Oryzias latipes: one gene and its partner. The protein of the gene in region 1 interacts with the protein of each later gene in a biochemical or structural test. Links are inferred from orthologs where the notes say so. Each region holds a gene or a part of one and is shown in the gene's direction. Other genes may lie near its edges.

The links.
Region 2: the proteins of fkbp8 (region 1) and egln1 form a complex in vitro, tested with the Homo sapiens proteins (2 studies listed by BioGRID, with this or other methods). The link is inferred for Oryzias latipes from reciprocal best matches to the Homo sapiens genes FKBP8 and EGLN1.

What each region holds. Positions count from the first base shown.
Region 1 is NC_019862.2:8,042,253-8,046,442, reverse strand, and holds the start of fkbp8 (peptidyl-prolyl cis-trans isomerase FKBP8), read left to right. Parts: upstream 1-1,390; 5' UTR 1,391-1,827; coding exon 1,828-1,859; intron 1,860-1,959; coding exon 1,960-2,210; intron 2,211-2,371; coding exon 2,372-2,541; intron 2,542-2,657; coding exon 2,658-2,746; intron 2,747-3,191; coding exon 3,192-3,412; intron 3,413-3,690; coding exon 3,691-3,863; intron 3,864-3,930; coding exon 3,931-4,008; intron 4,009-4,190. UniProt on the Homo sapiens protein: Constitutively inactive PPiase, which becomes active when bound to calmodulin and calcium. Seems to act as a chaperone for BCL2, targets it to the mitochondria and modulates its phosphorylation state.
Region 2 is NC_019873.2:28,399,783-28,403,946, reverse strand, and holds the start of egln1 (egl nine homolog 1), read left to right. Parts: upstream 1-1,364; 5' UTR 1,365-1,635; coding exon 1,636-2,313; intron 2,314-4,164. UniProt on the Homo sapiens protein: Cellular oxygen sensor that catalyzes, under normoxic conditions, the post-translational formation of 4-hydroxyproline in hypoxia-inducible factor (HIF) alpha proteins.

The sequences.
Region 1 (4,190 bases):
CATGGGTATTTATACCACTTAGATACAAGTTTGTTAGCTTGAATCATAGGAGCTGATGTTTTTACAGAAGATCACTTTGTCCAAAGCAGGGGCATCAAACTGATTTTCAGCGAGGGCCACATCAGCGTGCCGGCTGTCCTGGGGCCAGCTATAACTCATACATGTAACTAAATGTAATGAAAAATAAATGTACATACTCTTTAATGTTAAATAACTCATTAGTTATTTATTATAACTTTTTAAAGTGACAATTACAGCGGCATAGAAAACATGTGTTTGCATGGTACTCTAGCATAAATCCTTTTACATTTGATTCTGACAGGTTAGGTTATATTGGCAGTGTTTAAGTCCTAATGGATAGTTGCCCAATCAGATATTTTCAGATTCCCCCAAGATATGAATAAATACAAACCAATTTGTATTTTTATTCTAAAAAACTAAAAACTTTTATGCTCTCGCGGCCCACAAAAAATGACATGGTAGGCCACATTTGCCCCCTGGGCCTTAAGTTTGACACATGTGGTCTAGAGTGAAGTAAAGAAATGTCTTTTGGGCTCATGACACCAAAAATACTTCCGAGTTCTTCCTTTGCTTAAAGTGAAAACTGCTAATAAGCAAAGTTTCCCGGACATTCTTGTTAAAAAATGTCCAATCGGCAGCACATCGGAGGCAGAAACAACACAGAGATCGTTTAAGCTTTAAAAGTAAAAATGTGTGAGGAAATCCAGGAAGAATCACTCACAGCTTTGATGACTAAACTTGCGTTTTCATCTTTCGCTATTCTTTGGTCACATTTGGATTTATGTGACACCAAAATCAGTTGAAATGTGTTTTATAGTTTACAGTCCAGAATGCAGCTGCTTCTTTTTCACAGGAACCAGAAAACATGAAGACATCAGAGATTTTACATTTCACCACCATCTGAAAGAATTTACAGGACTGACCAACAAGCAGTTCTCTGTTTTTCAAAGTAAAAGTTCTGTGCCAGCCACTGATTCTTTTACCACCCTTCAATCAGTGAAACACATTTATCAGTAAAACTCCTTTATTCATTTCAAATTTTTGTTTTTAACTAGTAACAATGTTTAAGTACATTATTTATTGTGTTTTTCTATCTTTGAAACTTATTTGGGCGAACTTGTCTGGTTCTTCGGTTCATCAAATGTTTAATAATGATTGGAACTGTGTGACATCAGGATCTAAAGCATAACAGATCTTTCTGCTCTAAAAGGTTCGCGTTTTCGTGGTGAAGGATGTTCTCCGTCGTTTCATGAGTGAGCACAGGGTGTTTTTTAATGGAACCATTAAGGGGGCTTTTAATCTGAAAGCAGAGAAAAGCTTCTTGAAACATTAAAGCGATGCAGAGTGCTGCTGCGCATGCGCGAGGATCTACCGCTGTGACGAAGTCAGCCTGAGTGTCCACTGTGGCCCTTCCCGTTGGCGCCGTGCGCTCTAGACTTTTCTATTCGCAGTCTAACTTCCTGCGTGAGCTTGAAGGATCGGGACGCGGCTGTTGGACCAAAACAAGGCTGGAGGTGAATGTTCGCGTTCTAATTTACAATTTTAAGAACTTTTCTGTGTGTGTTCCTTCGTTTGGAAGTGATTCTAATCGACGACTTCGTTTTGTCAAAATGTCAGTGTCACTAAAAACTCTTAGTTTGATGGATGCAAATAAGCTAAGCCGCTGGCTCATAGCTAGCTAACCCAGCCACCTTCAGCTAACGCTAGCATTAGCATGTAGGTTTTGACCGAGAAACCTCGTTACTTTTTAAAAACCCACGGAAACGTCAGGTTTTCTGAAGTTTGGAGTAAAACTGTCTGCATGCAATGTTGGGGAACTGTAACGGATATCCTGGTCGGTACGTTAACGTCAGATTCTGCTGTTTGAAGAGCTTTTCTGTGAAGCTCAGAGATAAGCGAACAGAAAACGAGCTTCCTCAGTTTGACTGTCTTCTCCAGAATGGAGACCGTGGAAGCTGCAGACGGCCGCGAAAACGCTTCTTCTTCTGCCAGAAAGAGCGGACAAACGTCGTTGCTGGACAGCGGAGAAGACTTCGAGGTTGTGGATGAAGAGGACTTTGATGAGGAGCCTCCTCCTTTAGAAGATGCGGGAGGTGGGATGGAGAAAAGTTCAGATGAGACGGCGAAGAGGTCTCCACATGAAGAACCAGAGGCTCCGGCTCAGCTGGATGAGTGGTTGGATGTGTTGGGTGAGTCTGGCACTTGTTTGGCCTCTTCCCGCTGATGTTTCTTGGAAGAGAGAACAGTTCTTCATTTGTCTTTTGAATCTGACAGGTTCTGGAAGTAGTTGTGAGTTCCAAACAAGCATTTGGTGGTAGTTCTTGACAAGCCAACAGTTCTCTCTCTGCAGGAAATGGCCAGCTGAAGAAAAAAGTCACGGCGCCCGGGAAGGGACGAGCCAGTCGGCCTCAGAAGGGTCAGAACGTACGGATCCACCTTAAAGCTAGCCTGATCGATGGGACTCTGGTGGAGGAGCAACCTAACTTCTCCTTCACTTTGGGAGATTGTGATGTTATCCAGGTAAACCCTTAGTGGTGATATATGTCAGGGTTAGCCCCAACGCTCAAAATTACGTCTGCAGGTCTTGTTTTGTGGATTTGTCTCCGGTCAAACGTCAGTCAACACTTTTCTTCCAGGCTCTGGATCTGACGGTCCAGCTTATGGAAATGGGAGAAAAGGCTCTGATCCAGTCAGATCCTAAATATGCATATGGAGACAGAGGAAGGTGGGAGATAAGCTACTCTACATCAAACGCTGCAAATTGGTGATATAGAGAATTTTAACCATCCTTTAGAAAGATGGTAGCAGAGCCCAGAGTCTGAGGAGCCTCCAAATGAAATACTTTTTATTTTACTCACAGGTGGTTTAGTAAGTGGGAGGGGCTTTTTGACACACGTGGTCAAAAAAGTCTTGACATGTCTCACATTTACATAAACTTGGGTCAATAAGACCTTAAAAAGCAAACATTTGTCTTTAATTCAAGAGAATCTGTGTCTTTTCCTGACATGGGGGTAAAGGAAAGGAATCACTGGGAAATAAACTGTATGGATCCCTGGAGATTCACAGAAACAGACTGACTATGCCATCCTTTTTTTTTTGTTGGGGGGGGGGGGCGCTGCTGTTTTTGCTTCAGTCACTAAACCTGCCTGTTTTTTTTTTTCTCGTGTCAGTCTTGAACCTCGTGTTCCTCCAAACGCTCAGCTGTCCTTGGAAGTGGAACTCCTGGAGGCCACTGATGCCCCCGATGTGGAGCTGCTGCCCCCCGCAGAAAAGATTGCCCTCGCCAGTCGTAAACGAGAGAGGGGCAACGTCCATTACCAGCGTGGAGACTATGCGTTTGCAGTCAACTCCTACAGCATCGCCCTGCAGATAGCAGAGTCCAGTTCCAAAGGTGAGACCTTCATGACGCCGTCCCGCTTTCCCGGCAATGAAAGCTCCTCCCCCTGATCATCTTGCGGTGACTGATCAGTAACTGCAACTTTAAACCAAACAATGACGTGAAAATCAAAGCCCTGCAGATGTGAATGAGTCTTCAGTGGATCTTTTTAGCTTTTTTGCTCTGATCTTAGATTGAGATTTATTTCAAACATGTGAAGCAATACAAAATAATAATAATAATACATATAAAAAGAAGGAAGTTTGATATTGTCGTTGTGTTTTGTGGGACAGTGGACATCCGGCCGGAGGAGGAGGACGAGCTGCTGGATGTGAGAGTGAAGTGTCTGAACAACATGGCCGCCTCTCAGCTGAAGCTGGACCATTACGATGCTGCTCTGAAGTCTTGCGTTTCAGCTCTTGAGCATCAGCCAGACAACATAAAGGCACTTTTTCGCATGGGCAAGGTTGGCCTCAGTCCCGGAGCTTCTTGCTGCTGCTGAATGTCTGCTAAATGGTTGTTCTTTCCTCTAGGTTCTCTCTTTGAAAGGTGAATACACAGAAGCTATTCAGACCCTGAGGAAAGCACTGAAGCTGGATCCCAGCAACAAGGTCATTGAACTGTTTTCTCTTGGCAGATTGTCATTTTTACATTTGGCCAGTAGGTGGTGCCACAACCTAGACTATGGGTTGCAGCAGGCCACGTGGTCTGCTGAGTCAACATATGTGGAGATCTGTTTTCATGTTGCTGCTGAAAATAGGTTCACCCTAAGGCTGGGCTAATGCCAAGCCAG
Region 2 (4,164 bases), on another chromosome or scaffold:
TCATCCCTGTTGACATTCCTGCTTTGTCTGCATTTCATCCCAGTGACCTCCATAATAAAACAGATTTTTCCTGAATCTTAAAATAACGGTATTTATCACAGAGCTCCCGAAACCAAGTCTAATAAGTGAAGATTGTTTTAAGTGAAGTATTTTATTTTCAATTCTAAATCCCTAAAAACAAAGTTAAACTCTGTCCCTCACACAACTCCAACAGAATTATGATTAATGTGTCTATGACCCTTTTTATTATATGTTATAACATTAGTACTTACTTTCATTCCTACGGTGAAAACTACAATGTCTTTAAATTTATGCTCAAGTCAAAGTCGCCTTTTTTTCACTTGTGAATTTCACGTAATTAAAATAATAATGTTTTTGTGTTTTTTTTTACTGCTCTTTTAATCACAATAAAACAACATTTTGTAATTCATTTTGAATTGTCTTGAAACGTACTTGACAAATCAAGCTACCTCATAATAACAATGCGTATTTTTATTTTAAAGGTAAGAACTTCAACGTTTTTAGTAACATTACTGGTATTATTATATAGGTTTAGGGGAATCACCTGGATGAATGAGAGTCTTCATAGAGTTACTGGTATTATGGATAGAACCCATTCAGACCGTTTTTGACAAAAATCTGACTTTTGAATAATATTGAGAATTAAAATACAAATGAAACATTGTTGCACTTTGTCTTTTTTAACCAAATTTCTAGCTTTATTTTGTTATATACTATCATTTTTGCGTTTTAGTGTTTTAATTTTACCAAAACTTATTAGAAAGGTTTTACTTTTTTATTCATTCTTTCTTGTTGTTTACATGCTGGCCCTGGATTTTTTTGAAGTAGTAATAATAACTTTTCTGTGTAAAGTAATTAACTAATGATACTCCTGACGCTAGTTTAGGGGGAATTGGCATGGGGGGGGTCAACAGTAAAAAAAAGTCTCACGTTTGAAACAATCACTGTCCTTAATTAAACTTTCGAATATTGACTTTTATTCTCTTCTATTTTCTTCTTACTTTTATTTTTATTATTATTTTCATTTTTTAAATAAATATCTCAAAAATGTTGCGTTCAAGGAATTCCAACGAGCCACGATATCTACGCAAAGATGCATTTGCGGTTCATTAAAAAGTCACAGAGTTTGGGATTTCTCTGTTTAGACCCAGAACCGCACCAGTTCTGACCACGGTTCGCATAGAACCTCGTCTAAGTGGCTCACGAACGGAACCGAAAGCGCCCGTCCTCTGCTTAAAGAGTTCAAACTTCTGCAAAAGTTTGCCGTTTCTCCGACGGCTCCTGACACGCTCTCCGAGGGGGAGGGGCGTGTGCTTTGACGTCATCGAGGGCTTGACCACAGAAAAGGCACAGAGGCAGCGCACGTAGCCGCGCCATGCAGTACACAGAGTTCCAGACGACACCGGCCGAAATGCCTCCCGACGGCTCCTGAACGCTCCGTTTGGGGCGCGTGCTGCTCTTAAATGACTGAAGAAACGCGTAAAAATGGAGGAAAATGGCGGGCGTTTGACTTTTTCTCTCCTTTTTTGCTCGTCGTAGCGGGGCAGGGGCTCGTCTCCAAAGTTGTCGGTTGACAGGACTGTGGAATAAAAATAAAATAAAGATCCTTCAAACATGGACAAGCAGCAGCAGAGCGAGCTGGACCGGGACCGGCAGTACTGTGAACTTTGCGGGAAAATGGAGAACCTCCTGAAGTGCGGGAGGTGCCGGAGCTCCTTCTACTGTAGCAAGGAGCACCAGAAACAGCACTGGAAGAAGCACAAGCTCATTTGTAAGGAGGTCGAGAAACCCCTGCCCCTCAAAGTGAAGTCTGAGCCGGGTCCGCCGCCCGGGGGGGACACACGGGCGCAGAAACCCCCGGAAAAGAGCCCCCCCGAGCCGGCGGACCCGGCGCAGGCGGCACCTGAAGTTTCCGCGGGAGAGGACGGCGGCAGCCCCGCCACGCCGAACGGCCAGGTGAGCTCGAGCCTGCAGAAGCTCGCGCTGGAGGTGATCGTGCCGTGCATGAACGCGCACGGCATCTGCGTGGTGAACGGCTTCCTCGGGGAGGAGACCGGCCTGAGCGTCCTGGGGGACGTCAAGGCCCTGTACGACACCGGCAAGTTCACGGACGGACAGCTGGTCAGCCAGAAGAGCGACTCCACGCGAGACATCCGCGGGGACAAGATCGCCTGGATCGAGGGCCGAGAGCCCGGCTGCGAGAAGATCCGGTTCCTCATGGGCCGCATGGACGATCTGATCAGACACTGCAACGGCAACCTGGGAAACTACACTATCAATGGAAGGACAAAAGTAAGTATCTCACCTGGTGAAGGTGCGGAGACACCTGACCACGCACGTGACCTGGCTCCACAGGCTCCAAAAATGAAGATTTCCTTAAGGGACTCCATCCCCAACATGGAGATGCGAGTGTTTTTGTTTTAATCCAGCTGGATTGAGCAGGGAAAAGGGGCCAAAATTGAATATTTGGCACGTGACATATTTGCTAAGTACTTGTCTGAATTTTAAATTACTTTTTATATGGTCTGAACAGAGTTTTGCATTTTTATTTGTGACCCAAAGCATATACAAAACGTAATTATAATGACTTTATTTTGTTAGATTTCTTTGAATTGGAGTGATTTGTTCTGTGTCGTGTAAAGTAGAACTTGTCTTTTATCTAGAGGTTTTATTCCACATAGAAAACAACCCGGACCTGTCAGAAAAAGACCAAATAAGAATTTGTCCCTGTTGTTGCAGTTGTTGTTTTTAGGTGTGTGTTGCGTAGAAAACAGTAGCCTGAAGCCACGCGGGGCTGTGAATCATTTACTGGAAAGGGCTGTTGCTTCCTGACCTGGCGTGACCCGGCAGCATCAAGGAGGCAGGCGGCTGTGATGACTTCAGGCCGGTGCTGCAGACGCATCATTAGTGAGGCGGATTGTTTCCCTCGGGAAGGCGAGATGCTGTCAGTCTGCTGTCCTGGGAGGACAGAAGTTACCTGTCGCACGTGCGGCAGAGGCGTATAAGTTATGTCGTGTCTGCCCCGTGGGTGTCTTTTGGTTTTCATGTTACAGAAGTTTAGCTCAACCTATTTTCTACGTCACAAATAGGATCTTATTTTTTTAAACGGCATGAATAAAGAAATGCCTAGAAATGCAGTTTTAATCTTATTACTCTAGTTAGCAGAAAAATGCTACAAAAAGGGACCAAAAAAAAAAGACCAAAGTATTTGTCAGACTAAAAGCCAGATTTGTCATAGCAAAGCAGTCGGAGAAGTCAAACTTTAATCCATCCATGCTCAGGATGAAACACTCGGTGAGGCTCTGACTACAGTACCCATAATGCTTCAGCAATTGACCAAGCAGTGCGCCTTCTCGATTTACCAGTCCTACTAAAACATTTTGACTGACTTGAGGGCCACGTGTCACCAAAAGTCTGTTCTTATGGTCCACTAATACAGGTATGGTCACTCAAGTAGCTCTGTTAAATAATTGTCTCTTTGTTTTATTCTTGCCAAAAAAAAACAATAACTGGTGTAATCATAAATGCCAAGACTTGTGACCCGAATGGTATTTGAAAGACCCACTCCAGTAAAAAAAAATGTGTTTTTAACATGTTTTTGTGGCATTTTTCTGATGATCGAAGACGCTTGTGGGCGAAGGCAGGGGACACCCTGGACAGGTCGCCAGTCTGTCGCAGAGTACTATATATAAAGTATATATAAAGCTAATTAAGATAATGAAAAAAAAAAAGTTCCACCCCATTCTGACGCATTCACCTGCAGACCAATAGGTCCACGTCTTTGTTTTCCTAGTCTGAGCTGGAATCTGGATCTTAACTGTACAACTGGATAGCTCTGATATTGCTCACGTTTTTAGTTGCACAGAGAGTGTAAACAAAGGGCTGATGGGACATGAGGGCAGGCTTACTCCCTGACCTCGTGGAGGTCCCGCCCACAGCTCAGAGGTGAATTTCTAATGAACTCCTGCTGCTCTGCAGAAACCTTTATTTCTTTTGTTTTTTGCTAAAATCGGCACAATCACGATTAAAAGACTATGGTGAACACTTTCCAAATAGATCAAAGGATGATCAGAGTGGGACTTTAAGTGTTGAATTCTACAGACCTCTGCATTAAGGAAAGGTTTGGCATCTTAGCAGACTTGC